Linked DNA regions of Drosophila melanogaster. The protein of the gene in region 1 interacts with the protein of each later gene in a biochemical or structural test. Each region holds a gene or a part of one and is shown in the gene's direction. Other genes may lie near its edges. The genes, in order: CtsL1 and cer.

Evidence for each region.
Region 2: of the proteins of CtsL1 (region 1) and cer, one has a biochemical effect on the other in vitro, tested with the Drosophila melanogaster proteins (one study listed by BioGRID).

What each region holds. Positions count from the first base shown.
Region 1 is NT_033778.4:13,959,204-13,967,277, forward strand, and holds the start of CtsL1 (cathepsin L1), read left to right. Parts: upstream 1-1,977; 5' UTR 1,978-1,990; coding exon 1,991-2,062; intron 2,063-3,016; coding exon 3,017-3,133; intron 3,134-5,449; exon of another isoform or gene 5,450-5,715; coding exon of another isoform or gene 5,716-5,982; exon of another isoform or gene 5,983-6,283; intron 6,284-6,401; exon of another isoform or gene 6,402-6,492; coding exon of another isoform or gene 6,493-6,582; intron 6,583-7,551; coding exon 7,552-7,766; intron 7,767-7,826; coding exon 7,827-8,074. Other genes in the region: Rpn13 (regulatory particle non-ATPase 13), read right to left, coding at 1-195, 365-885; CG42806 (uncharacterized protein), read left to right, coding at 5,716-5,982. UniProt on the Drosophila melanogaster protein: Important for the overall degradation of proteins in lysosomes. Essential for adult male and female fertility. May play a role in digestion.
Region 2 is NT_033778.4:19,395,657-19,398,680, reverse strand, and holds cer (crammer), read left to right. Parts: upstream 1-1,908; 5' UTR 1,909-2,018; coding exon 2,019-2,057; exon of another isoform or gene 2,058-2,118; coding exon 2,119-2,319; 3' UTR 2,320-2,466; downstream 2,467-3,024. Other genes in the region: SdhA (succinate dehydrogenase, subunit A (flavoprotein)), read left to right, coding at 2,938-2,994.

The sequences.
Region 1 (8,074 bases):
CCGGGGGCATCCGCATCAACGGAGGAGCCGGCACCTTCGCCGACCTGCGAGTTCACATTGCTGCTGCTGCGGCTGCTGCCCGATTTCGATGGAGCGCTCGGAGTGCGCGGCACACTGACGTTTTCGGGCGTCTGCAAGGCCGATGCCCCACCGCCACCCGATGAGGAGGTGTTGCGCGACGAGGGCGTCCGGGAGCTGCGGAGAATATAGAAAGGAAAATATTGAAAAAGGGGGTGAACTCAAGTTCTGGCTTCATTCCTTCGATTACATGCTTATAAACAATAAAAACGATACCCTGTAAGTTAAGAAGCTATCTACTTGACTAGTTCTTGGACACTATGGCTGCAAGGGTTTAAATGCTCACTTCATTTGGCCCAGCAGCGAGCTGAGACCACCCATCTGGCCAACGCCGCCGAAGAGCTGCATCAGCTGCTGCTGCGACATGTTGTTGAGCATGTACTGGAGGTCGCCGTCGTTGCTGCCGCCGCCGCCGCGCTGGTGGGCGGATGGAGGGTTGTTCAGCAGCTCGTTGATGCGGCGGCACTGCTCGTCGTCCTTGTCCGTCTTGGGCTCCTGCATCCAGAAGAACATGCGGCGTGTCGATGACTTGAACTTAAGCACATAGACACGGCCCGTCTTGCACTGATCGACGCGCTTGTACTCGAAGTCATCGGGGAAGACGATGAGATCGTCCTCCACCTTGCCGGAGGTGCGATCCTTCCAGCAGAAGTGCATCAGGCCATCGTCACTCTGGGTCATGTAGACCAGGCCCTTGCGCGGATCCGGATGCACCATCTTGCCCACCATGTTCATGCGACCTGCGCGGAACTCCACCAGGTTGCTGCTGTTGCTGGAACTACCCAGTCCACTTTGTCTTCCAAACATGATGCGGGTGCTTCTTGAGAGCTGGCGAAGATTGGATGAAGAACGTATTGTAATTACGACTTTCTTTGGCGCATAACTCGAAAGTGTTTTATGGTGCCGTGATCGGTTTGGGGTTATTAGTAGTCGCTGCACTACTTACGGGATATATAATGCGTTTACTTTGTTGAGTTTATCAAAAATTCAGTGAATCGTCAATTCCCAATGACGAGCAAAATTTGTCTTCTTCTTACCTCAGCAGTGTTACCATCAACGGGTGAATTCTAACATTTAGTATTTCAAAACACTGTTGAACAAAATTCAGTTTAGACATTTGTTGTATAATTTAAATTGAGTTCGTTGAGTGACTTAGAAATCTTTCGATTGCAAAAGTAACAAGAGAGGTATAGTTTTTAGTTATTTAACACTCATTATTAAATAAACATAAACTAAAAAGCTCTTGCATATATTTAGGCTGACCAATTATTTCGATTTAGCGACTGAATTTGGCCGTTTTACACACAAGAACTGCATCACTGCCCACGCTGTTATCGATAAGCCGTCTGCTCAGGCAACTTCTGGTATTTCCAGAAGATTCGGACTGGTCACTCTGTCGGAGATTTCTTGTTTAAACAATTTCTGCTGGTTTTCATTAAACAACGAAAGGTCTTTGGGACTGGATCATCAAGAGCGACTTGTTAAATACAATCGGTTGACTTGCACATTAGTGTTGTTTCAGCCAATTAAAAAGAGTGCAACAACAGTGATAAATCAGTGAATTTACTGCATTCCTTGCGACGCAATTCCGAGTGGTAAGCAATATATGTAGTCTTTTTAGTTATTTTCGAGTTGAGAACGCAAATATACCTGCCCTGCATTAATGCCGATTAATTGCTTCGTATTGACTTGTTGAATCTAATTGCGTCATGTCTGTGTGGCGACTTATTTACACTTTAATTGCACTCCACAATAATCAACAGTCGGCATCTTCGTCTATGCCCGTTTTTATTGCCCCTTTTGCTTTGCGCTTTAGATTCTGTTGCGCTTCTTTGTTTAGATTTTGTCCAATTCCCCTTTGTGCTGACCCATTTTTCTAGTCTTTGTGGTTTTTAACTCACCTGATAGCCAGATGAATCACCTTGGCGTTTTTGAAACCCGTTTTCGCCCTCGAACTAGGCACAAATCGCAGAGGGCACAATTGGTAAATAACAACTTTTATCAAATGCCTCTCACGTTTCTCAAAATGGGCGCAAAAACAGCAAGACAATGATAGAAAAACAATAAGTGAAGCAAATCGCGCAAAAATGGCAGACTTTGAAAGCAATACGAAGCTGCGAGGCAAAGTGGAATGGCCGATAAGATAACGCATCGCCATCGAAAAAATAAAAAAAAACAAATATTAAACTATATTGTTTATCACAAAGCAAATGTCAATATATTTACAAACGCCCCGCAAATCAGTCAAGTTTTATAGAAATAATTTTTATGTCTCTATAAAGAGAATATTTTACGCTAAAATCGAGAGAAGCTTCTTTAAAGGATCAAATTTCTCAAATTTGAACCGTTATTTATTCTTTCATTTTCACTCTTTTCTATGCTTACAATGATATATTTAAAAACTAGTTTTTCAAAACCATGTCTGTTACGAATTTAATAAAGAATTAAAATAATATATTTACAAAGCTTCTATTGCTAGATCTCAGATTGCTTATAGTTTTATACATTAAGTTAGCCTCAAATAAATAAATAATATTAATAACCTTTTTTTTATTATAAATTTGCAATAAATTGCAATTTGGTGCAATAAATTCCATATTTTACCCAATAAATATTAAATATTTTGCAGTGATTTTGATCGTTAGAAATTTATTAAAATATTGCTTAGGCTCATGACAAAGTTGCTAAGATAAAACTAATACTTTAATAGCACAAATTATGCTAATTAACCACAATTTAATAGTATGAATCATGAACAAGTGCAAGAAACTGACTTTATTCACAACTTTCCTTTATCGCTCGAGCAGCTTAGAATATGTATTTTACTTTAATTCGAAGTTAGTGAGCCAGCCCTGATATTTTGCAATCTGGTTTAGTGGCTTCACGTGACCGACACTCCGATTGTTAGTTTGCTTACTAATTGTGTGATTTCTTGCAGATTCCAGAACAAATCACAATGCGCACAGCTGTTTTGCTGCCACTTTTGGCCCTGCTGGCGGTGGCTCAGGCCGTTTCCTTCGCCGACGTGGTCATGGAGGAATGGCATACGTTCAAGGTGAGTTTCAACCGGATCATCTAGGGATCATATTTAATTCGCCAGGCCGAAGAGGCAGATAACAAGTGTTCTCCGGTAACAAGGGCTTGATGTGTAATGATGATTAATCCATTAATTTTTTTTTTGGGCCTTTGTCTTCTGTCCGACTTTGTTTGCATAGTTGGACGCGCGGCATTCTTCCGTTTGTGACGATTCCGCACTTCTGACTTCTGAGTCAGCAGCCATTGCGAGTGTGAATGCACTGCTGCGCGGCTGCCTCAAAGAGACGGAAGGAGGATTCAGATAAGTCCAAAAGTCTAGGCTGTCGTCCAGTCACATGCCGGCTCACATGACCGCAAGCGGCAAGCTGGGCTGCTTTGCTTAGCCCATCCGTAAACATCGGCTGGATGGGCAGATAATCCAAGTCGTTGTGTCGCCCACTTTCGCTACGCTCGCGGTTCATTTCCCGCCGATAAGCCGTGCAAGACTCAAACTGGTCCACTGCCGGCCGACTGATAAGGCGCGGGTCGCATATTTGCCATCACACTTTTCGCAAGCCATGTTTCCTAATGCGACTTCGATTTTTGCCCCCTTCTATTGCATATATATGTGTGTCCATGGTTCCATTGATGATTGGGCCAATCATCCTTTGTCTCGCAGCCTTCACTTGCAACTTCGTCTGCTTATCAATGGTGGATTGTCTATTGATTAATTGAATGCGCCCCTAGTGTCGTCTAATTCTTATCGCCAACAGTCAGGGGTCGTGATTTTTTCCATTATTTTACTGAATAGTTCCGTGCCAAGCGTCATTAGCCCCAAATGGGGGCGTACAAATAATAATTAGCTGTTTGTGCAGAGATCTCATGTGATAAGGGGGATATATGTACATCTCTATATATGCATATTGGTTTAATAACTTTGGATATTTTGCCTTTGATGGTTTTATATTCACTTTTCGAATTCAAATTCAAATGCACCCGCATATGCAATATATGCATATAACTTTATTTCCCTTCCTTTTTTTATCTGCTGTTAAATATCATATTCAATTGAGTGACTCATTTGTTAGAGTAAGCACAGAGTGGTGTATTAAATTATTGTTTATAAATAACAAAGTCTGATCAACTGAAAGAATAGGAATCATATTTATGGAAAGAGTTACTCATCCTTAATTAAAAATAAAAAGAAAATCAACTAAACATTTGCAATTTCCCCACTCATATATTATTTACCTAACTAAATTTTCTTTGATCATCTAATTTAGTTTAGATTTAGTTTTCTTTTTTTTTTCAAAATAAACTCACAATTACTTTACATTTGCCATTTTACATTTCGAGACCGTTAGGTGTCATGTAGAATACTGCAAACGCTCGGTCACACTGCTGCAAACAGTGCTACCCATGCTTGCTTGGGGAATGAAAGGCGCGCAATTTAAATGTGATAACGATGCCAACCATTAGCTCTCACTGCTTATAGTTAGTTAATAAAAACGACATTATCTGTAATGTGTGTGCAGTCCAAAGTGCCACAGTTGTCGGTTGCAAATGCACAGCTGCAAAAGTCAGCGTTGAGCAACTGTGGCACTGATAAGCTCTAAAATTCCAGATTAATGCGTTTTAATTTAAGCAGCTATTCGCATAGTTCGGCAAATATTCAACAACAATATTTAAGAACAAGTCGTGCGGGGGGCCGCGAGCATTTTGGAAATGACGCGCTACAAATCGGCGTTGCTTATCAAATTGCCATTTTTCGCTGGCATTTCCGAGAGCCGAAAGAGATTTCTAGCATTAATTCCCCGAGTGACAAGTGCACAAACAAATCGGCTGCCGTAAATAAACAAGCTGGGAAAAATTTCGCTGACTTGCAAAAGCAGCATGCGGCTCTTTTCTTACATTTTTTATTAAAGATACATAAGTTTCTGTTTTTTTTTTCGTTTTTTTTTAAATCTGTTACTTCTGCTAACCGGTTGGAGCAAACATATTTGAATAGCTCGCCTGAAATCCTTATAAATCAAAATGAAACCGGTTCGCCTTTTTGAGCAAACCCACAATGCGCGCGCTGCAAAACAGAAGGAAATATACGAAAAAGCATAAGAAACAAGAAATATATAGAGTACGCCCGCCTGCCATCCTCCAAATTGGTTGGCCTACGTAGATTGGGCTCTCATTTCGATTTCGGCGATACGAAGAAAGAGTGTAGAGTGTGTTGTGTGCGTGTGTGAACTCGGCTCTTTTTCGCCCCGCCGTCATGCGATTGAGTTTGCGTTTGCGAGCGGACCACCACCATCACCACCACCACCACCAAAAGCGAAGCAGCCAGCTCTGTCGTATTTTTGTTATTCCCGAACCGACGCTCCACGCCAACGGAACGCTCGAGCAGCCAGCGGCAGGCAGTAGCAGCAGCAGTGCAGAGCGCAATATATAGAACATTTGAGAGAAAAGAAATAAAAGGAGCCAAGTCAGACGGGGCCCCCAGCGGTGGTAGTAGAAGTACGGAAAAGCACGCGCGTCATCGTAAAAAACGTGCTACGAAATCGCAGGGAGACGGGCGGTAATAGCAAATAAATTACATAAAAACCACGGAGGAGCAATCACAGCATAAGAATGACCGATACCAGTGCAAATAATTTGGATGTATCGGTGGATGTGGTCTGGCCGACGATAATTGTCCTGGCCATGCTGGTCATAAATGGCTTCGTTTTCGCCTACATTATGCGCAAGCGGCGGGAATACAAATGCCAGGAGGAGGAGCTGCAGCAACAACAACAACCTGTTCCACATTCCTCCTATGCGGCCACTTCGACAACGGAACGGCATGCGGATGCGGATCAGGAGGACGATAGCTGTGCCATCGAGATGGAGCGACTGTAGGGATGGAGATCGCACTAGCTAAGCTCTCTGATACTCAACTACTATCGTCCAAGCTTCTCAACTGCAACGAAGTTTCCTAAGCCACATATGTAGTATATCTAGATTGATAGATACAAAACGTATACGTCGAGTGCCTGGATATCACATCGGATCGCACGTGCATTTAATTACGGTGTTTTTAAGTTGTTAACTCTATCTGCATATATCGCAAATTCAAATTTTCTACAAAAGTATACAATAAATGTGTGAATTTTATCATGCGGCAACGAGAACCAACGACGTTTGCAAGGAAAATCAATAGGTCAGTGTGCCGGGAGGCGCCTCTTTTCTGCCGTTACCACCTCCTCCCTCGAAATCACAACGGGCGGGGTTTCATTTTGCTGCAAGACTCGAATTCGATTCAATTATGTCAATTATAGGAGTCAACCACGGACCAGTGGACCCCATCCGGTCCATTTGGGGCGACAATTGCTGATGCTGGTCCGCTTTGATGTCCAAAAGTAATTACACATGCATGTTTCTCACATGACAGCGCCACTCGACTGTTCAGTTCAATGTGCCAAGTACCCTGGAATATTGCAAAATCTACTAAGACTTGTGGTGAGCCACTTAAAAAGCGATTAGGTTTGGGTTTATACCCATATTTCACTGAGAAAACATGCCACTTTGAGTGCGTTGAAGAGTCGCAAAAAAATAACCAGTTTAGCAATAAACACTTTTGGAAAATGCATTTCAGTTTAGCATGTTTGCTATTTGGATATTCGTGAGCAGTAATAATGAGTTTTGTTGAATAATTCTATATACTTAACTTAACTTTCATAAACTTTTCGATTCTATGCAAAGCCGCTAATTTGGTATTCAGACAAGAGGAAGTCAATTTTTATTCACAAATTTCACTTTGAATCGAAAACTACCCCCATATAGTGGCATTTGCCGAATCTAATGGATAGCAACCTAGTCGACTTCTTGCCCTGGCCTTTCAATTCCCTTTATAGCTATCATTTGTTTAGCGTTCGTGCTATTTTCGTGCTGTGGCTGTGTCAATATGCGGGTCGGACTAACAAACAACCCCGAGCTGGGAGAGGAGGTCTCTTATCCACGGGACCACTGCAGGCAGATGGAGCGCATTTCCTCGTGCTGGCCTCGCTTCTCCTATTCCTACCTGCAGTTTGGCTCGTTTGTTTACTACCTGGAACATTAACACCCGTTTCAAGTTCCTGTCGTTGGGCAATCGTTAAACACAATTTTATGACCATGTTTTATAGATTTATAGAGCTTGCTACTGTGGCCGTTCCTCTAGAGCGTTTCGCTCGTGCCAGGTTGACGGCGCTGTGATAAGGTGTAATCTGCAGATTAAGAACTTTTGCCTCAGCGATCGTAAATCCATTTTACGTAAAACATTTTATTTGATTTTTAATAGAGTTCCCAAAAATGCGTCTAAAAAGTTAACTTTTCATTTGGTTGGCTTTATCTTATCTTGAAACAAGTACACGAAAGTCAATCGATAGTAGCACTTACCTTTGATAAGAGTGCATTATCTAACTAATACTAATACTTTTCATTATGCAGCTGGAGCACCGCAAGAACTATCAGGATGAAACCGAGGAGCGTTTCCGCCTCAAGATCTTCAATGAGAACAAGCACAAGATTGCCAAGCACAACCAGCGATTCGCCGAGGGCAAGGTGAGCTTCAAACTGGCGGTCAATAAGTACGCCGATTTGCTGCACCACGAATTCCGTCAGCTGATGAACGGCTTCAACTACACTCTGCACAAGCAACTGCGGTAAGTTGGGATCGTTAAGGATTATAATGTGCACATATTCAACTTTGCATTCGCTTTCAGTGCCGCCGATGAAAGCTTCAAGGGAGTCACCTTCATCTCGCCGGCTCATGTGACGCTGCCCAAATCTGTGGACTGGCGCACCAAGGGAGCTGTGACCGCCGTCAAGGATCAGGGACACTGCGGCAGCTGCTGGGCCTTCTCCAGCACAGGCGCCCTCGAGGGTCAGCATTTCCGCAAGTCCGGTGTCCTCGTCTCGCTGTCCGAGCAGAATCTGGTCGATTGCTCCACCAAGTACGGCAACAATGGAT
Region 2 (3,024 bases), 5.4 Mb from region 1:
GCGTGATCCGTAGGAGTAGCAATCTTGACCAACCTCCCACCATCAGCGGGAACCGAGAAAAATAACGACAATGATACCACGAGAAAATGGAAACTTTAGCCAGATCAGCAAAAGAAGCATTATATAAAAAAAAGAGAGAGGCCTAAACAAGCAACGGATGAGCAGCTAAAATCGATCGAGATGCATCTAAGGGGAAATCCCCCTCACCCTCCCTTAATTCGCATTCACAGCTTATATCTATTATAATATAATTCTAATTTTTAATTTATACGATGGCCACGGCAACACACCCTCCCCTCCACACACACACACACACAGAGAGAGATAAATGCAATTCACACAACAATTTGTATGATAAACGAGAATGAGGTTTGCAGGTGTACACGCAATATCCGACACCGCCGCTTTGTCCTAAACAAGTAACTTGCAAATATCTTCTAGATGTATTAGCTTATAAAATAACTACGCAACACACCTTACTACATGATGACATGGTAAAGCAAATGAACAGATAAAAAAGGGTACAAATTCCCAGGCAACTCTAACGACAAACAAAGATTTGTTTGAAACAAAGGCAAACTTTTGTTTTTAGACACATACGTACAAGCGTGGTACATGCATAATACTTAAATGCAATATTTTTTTAGAAATGCAATAAATTCGATGACAACAACTACAATTTGATATTCTAGGCATGTGTGTGTTTTGTGAAAGCGCGTTTTATGTTTTTGTGTTCTTTTGTTTTGTTTTTAAATTCCGGGCAGCCACAATTTGCACACAAAACGAATAAATAATTATTGTATACATGCAGCAATTGTATTAGTTTTTTATATAAATAATTATATATTTTTATGTACGTAAAACTGTTTATACATACATATACATATATATATTTATAAAAACCAATAAATTATGAAGAAAACGAAAATCCAAAAATACACCACGCCCGCATTAAAACATGCGATTACTCTGAGGAAAGCAGAAACAACACAATCACTGAGAATGGTTGGAATTTTCCAAAAATTATCTCCAAGAATCAAATTTCAGCATTTCTTTTGTAAGTAGATGTGCTTGATTTGTAATCGCTTTTCCATTTATAATATTCAAATCGATGAATAACGAATACTGCAATTAACTATATACGACTGCCATAGCATGTAAAACTTTAAGGCACAACTTAAACGCATTTACATTTCAAATTAACTGACATAAAATTAAAACCCCGATGATTAATGCCAGATAAATCGAATGTTTCTGCTTTTCCTACCCAAACCCACCACCACATTGAAAACACTCTCTTTACAACATAATACTTGCATTGCTGAGCCTTAGACAAACAAACAAACAAAAAAAAAAAACGGCAAAATATAAAGTATAATTAAACTGATTATTTGCGCAACGACAGAAGCTTATTTCTAGCAACTTTTTTGCGTCATTAAGGCGAAAAAGTCTGTATAATTTTGTCCTTAGATTAACATTAGAAATATGTCAATATTCTCACTCTGTGCAAATAATAAAAAAACTTTTGAAAAAAGCAAACGAGAAGCCGAAAGTTTATTCATAAAATTTGTTTAGAGTGTAAGAAAATGCATATAAATATATATTTAAATTCGTATTATACACAAGAAAAAACACGACACACACGAAGAAGTAAACACGTAATAAATAAAAACTTGAAAATTGTACAAAATTCAAAAGTATTTGAAAAGAGGTTTTTTTTATTTGTATTTATTTTTTGAGTAGTCATTCCAAAAAATGTAACAATGGTTTTGCATTAAATGTTTATAATGTTTGAGAATTTAGCATATGATTTAAATCGAATTTGAATAGTATCCGGTTTTCATAAACGAGGGCCCACTGTTATTTATGTTTGTTTTTCACCGAAGTGGCATCTCTGATCAGCTGCATATATTATCGTTTCTTTGTTGTGTTTATATGTTGTGACTCAGTGCGAAACCGTGATAAAACCTGAGAATTGAAACGAAATTTAGTCGGTCACCAAAATTACAAGTGTCAAGATGTCCCTGGTTTCAGATGAGGAGTGGGTGGAGTACAAGGTAGGCCCAATATGTCCTAGCAAGCGACGCAATATTTAGAAATCACTTGATTCCACCATAGTCCAAGTTCGACAAGAACTACGAGGCAGAGGAGGATCTGATGCGTCGTAGAATCTACGCCGAGTCCAAAGCCCGGATTGAGGAACACAATCGGAAGTTCGAGAAGGGCGAAGTGACTTGGAAAATGGGAATTAATCATTTGGCTGATCTCACGCCTGAGGAATTTGCCCAGCGTTGTGGCAAAAAGGTGCCGCCAAATTAACAGAATCTCAAGTGAATCTCATTTTAAATAGACATTTTGTAAAGACACTAATCTCTCTGTAATTCTATAAATATGCATTTGAATTTTTAAATCTTTATCGTTCAACCACCCCCAAATAAACAATAAATCAGCTGTTTTGTACATTTTAAAGATTTTGGGATTTTTGTGTTCTGGCCACTTTGGCTGGGAGAAAAACAGTTCATTAGGTTTTGGTTCAATGAACGAAGGTTTATTTATCTCTACGATATATGCAAATAAATACGTACGGCTGAGATGGTAAAATTCCATTCCAAAAATATGTATGCTTGTACGCGGTATCTATATACATTTTGAACTTAAAGCGGATTAACGCCTTTCTGCGATGAACTAGTTCCGGTTCAGCGTTCATTGAGCGAGTCAGTGAACCGAACTGCAGTGCCGACGAGCGGCAGTTCACACACAACATTTGAAAGTTTGTAAACTTTTCCTTTTTCGATCACATAGACACATCGATACACGTAGTTATTTGTTTTTATTTTGTACCAACACCAAACACCCCATCTTACAAGCGCGTAAAACCTCGTTTTCGGTCCAATCTCTTGCAGAATCTTGCAGTAGAACCTCACAGCCCAGCCAAACATGTCCGGAATCATGCGTGTGCCATCGATTTTGGCCAAAAATGCAGTCGCCTCCATGGTAAGTAGTCCCCATTTTGGAAGTGAAAAC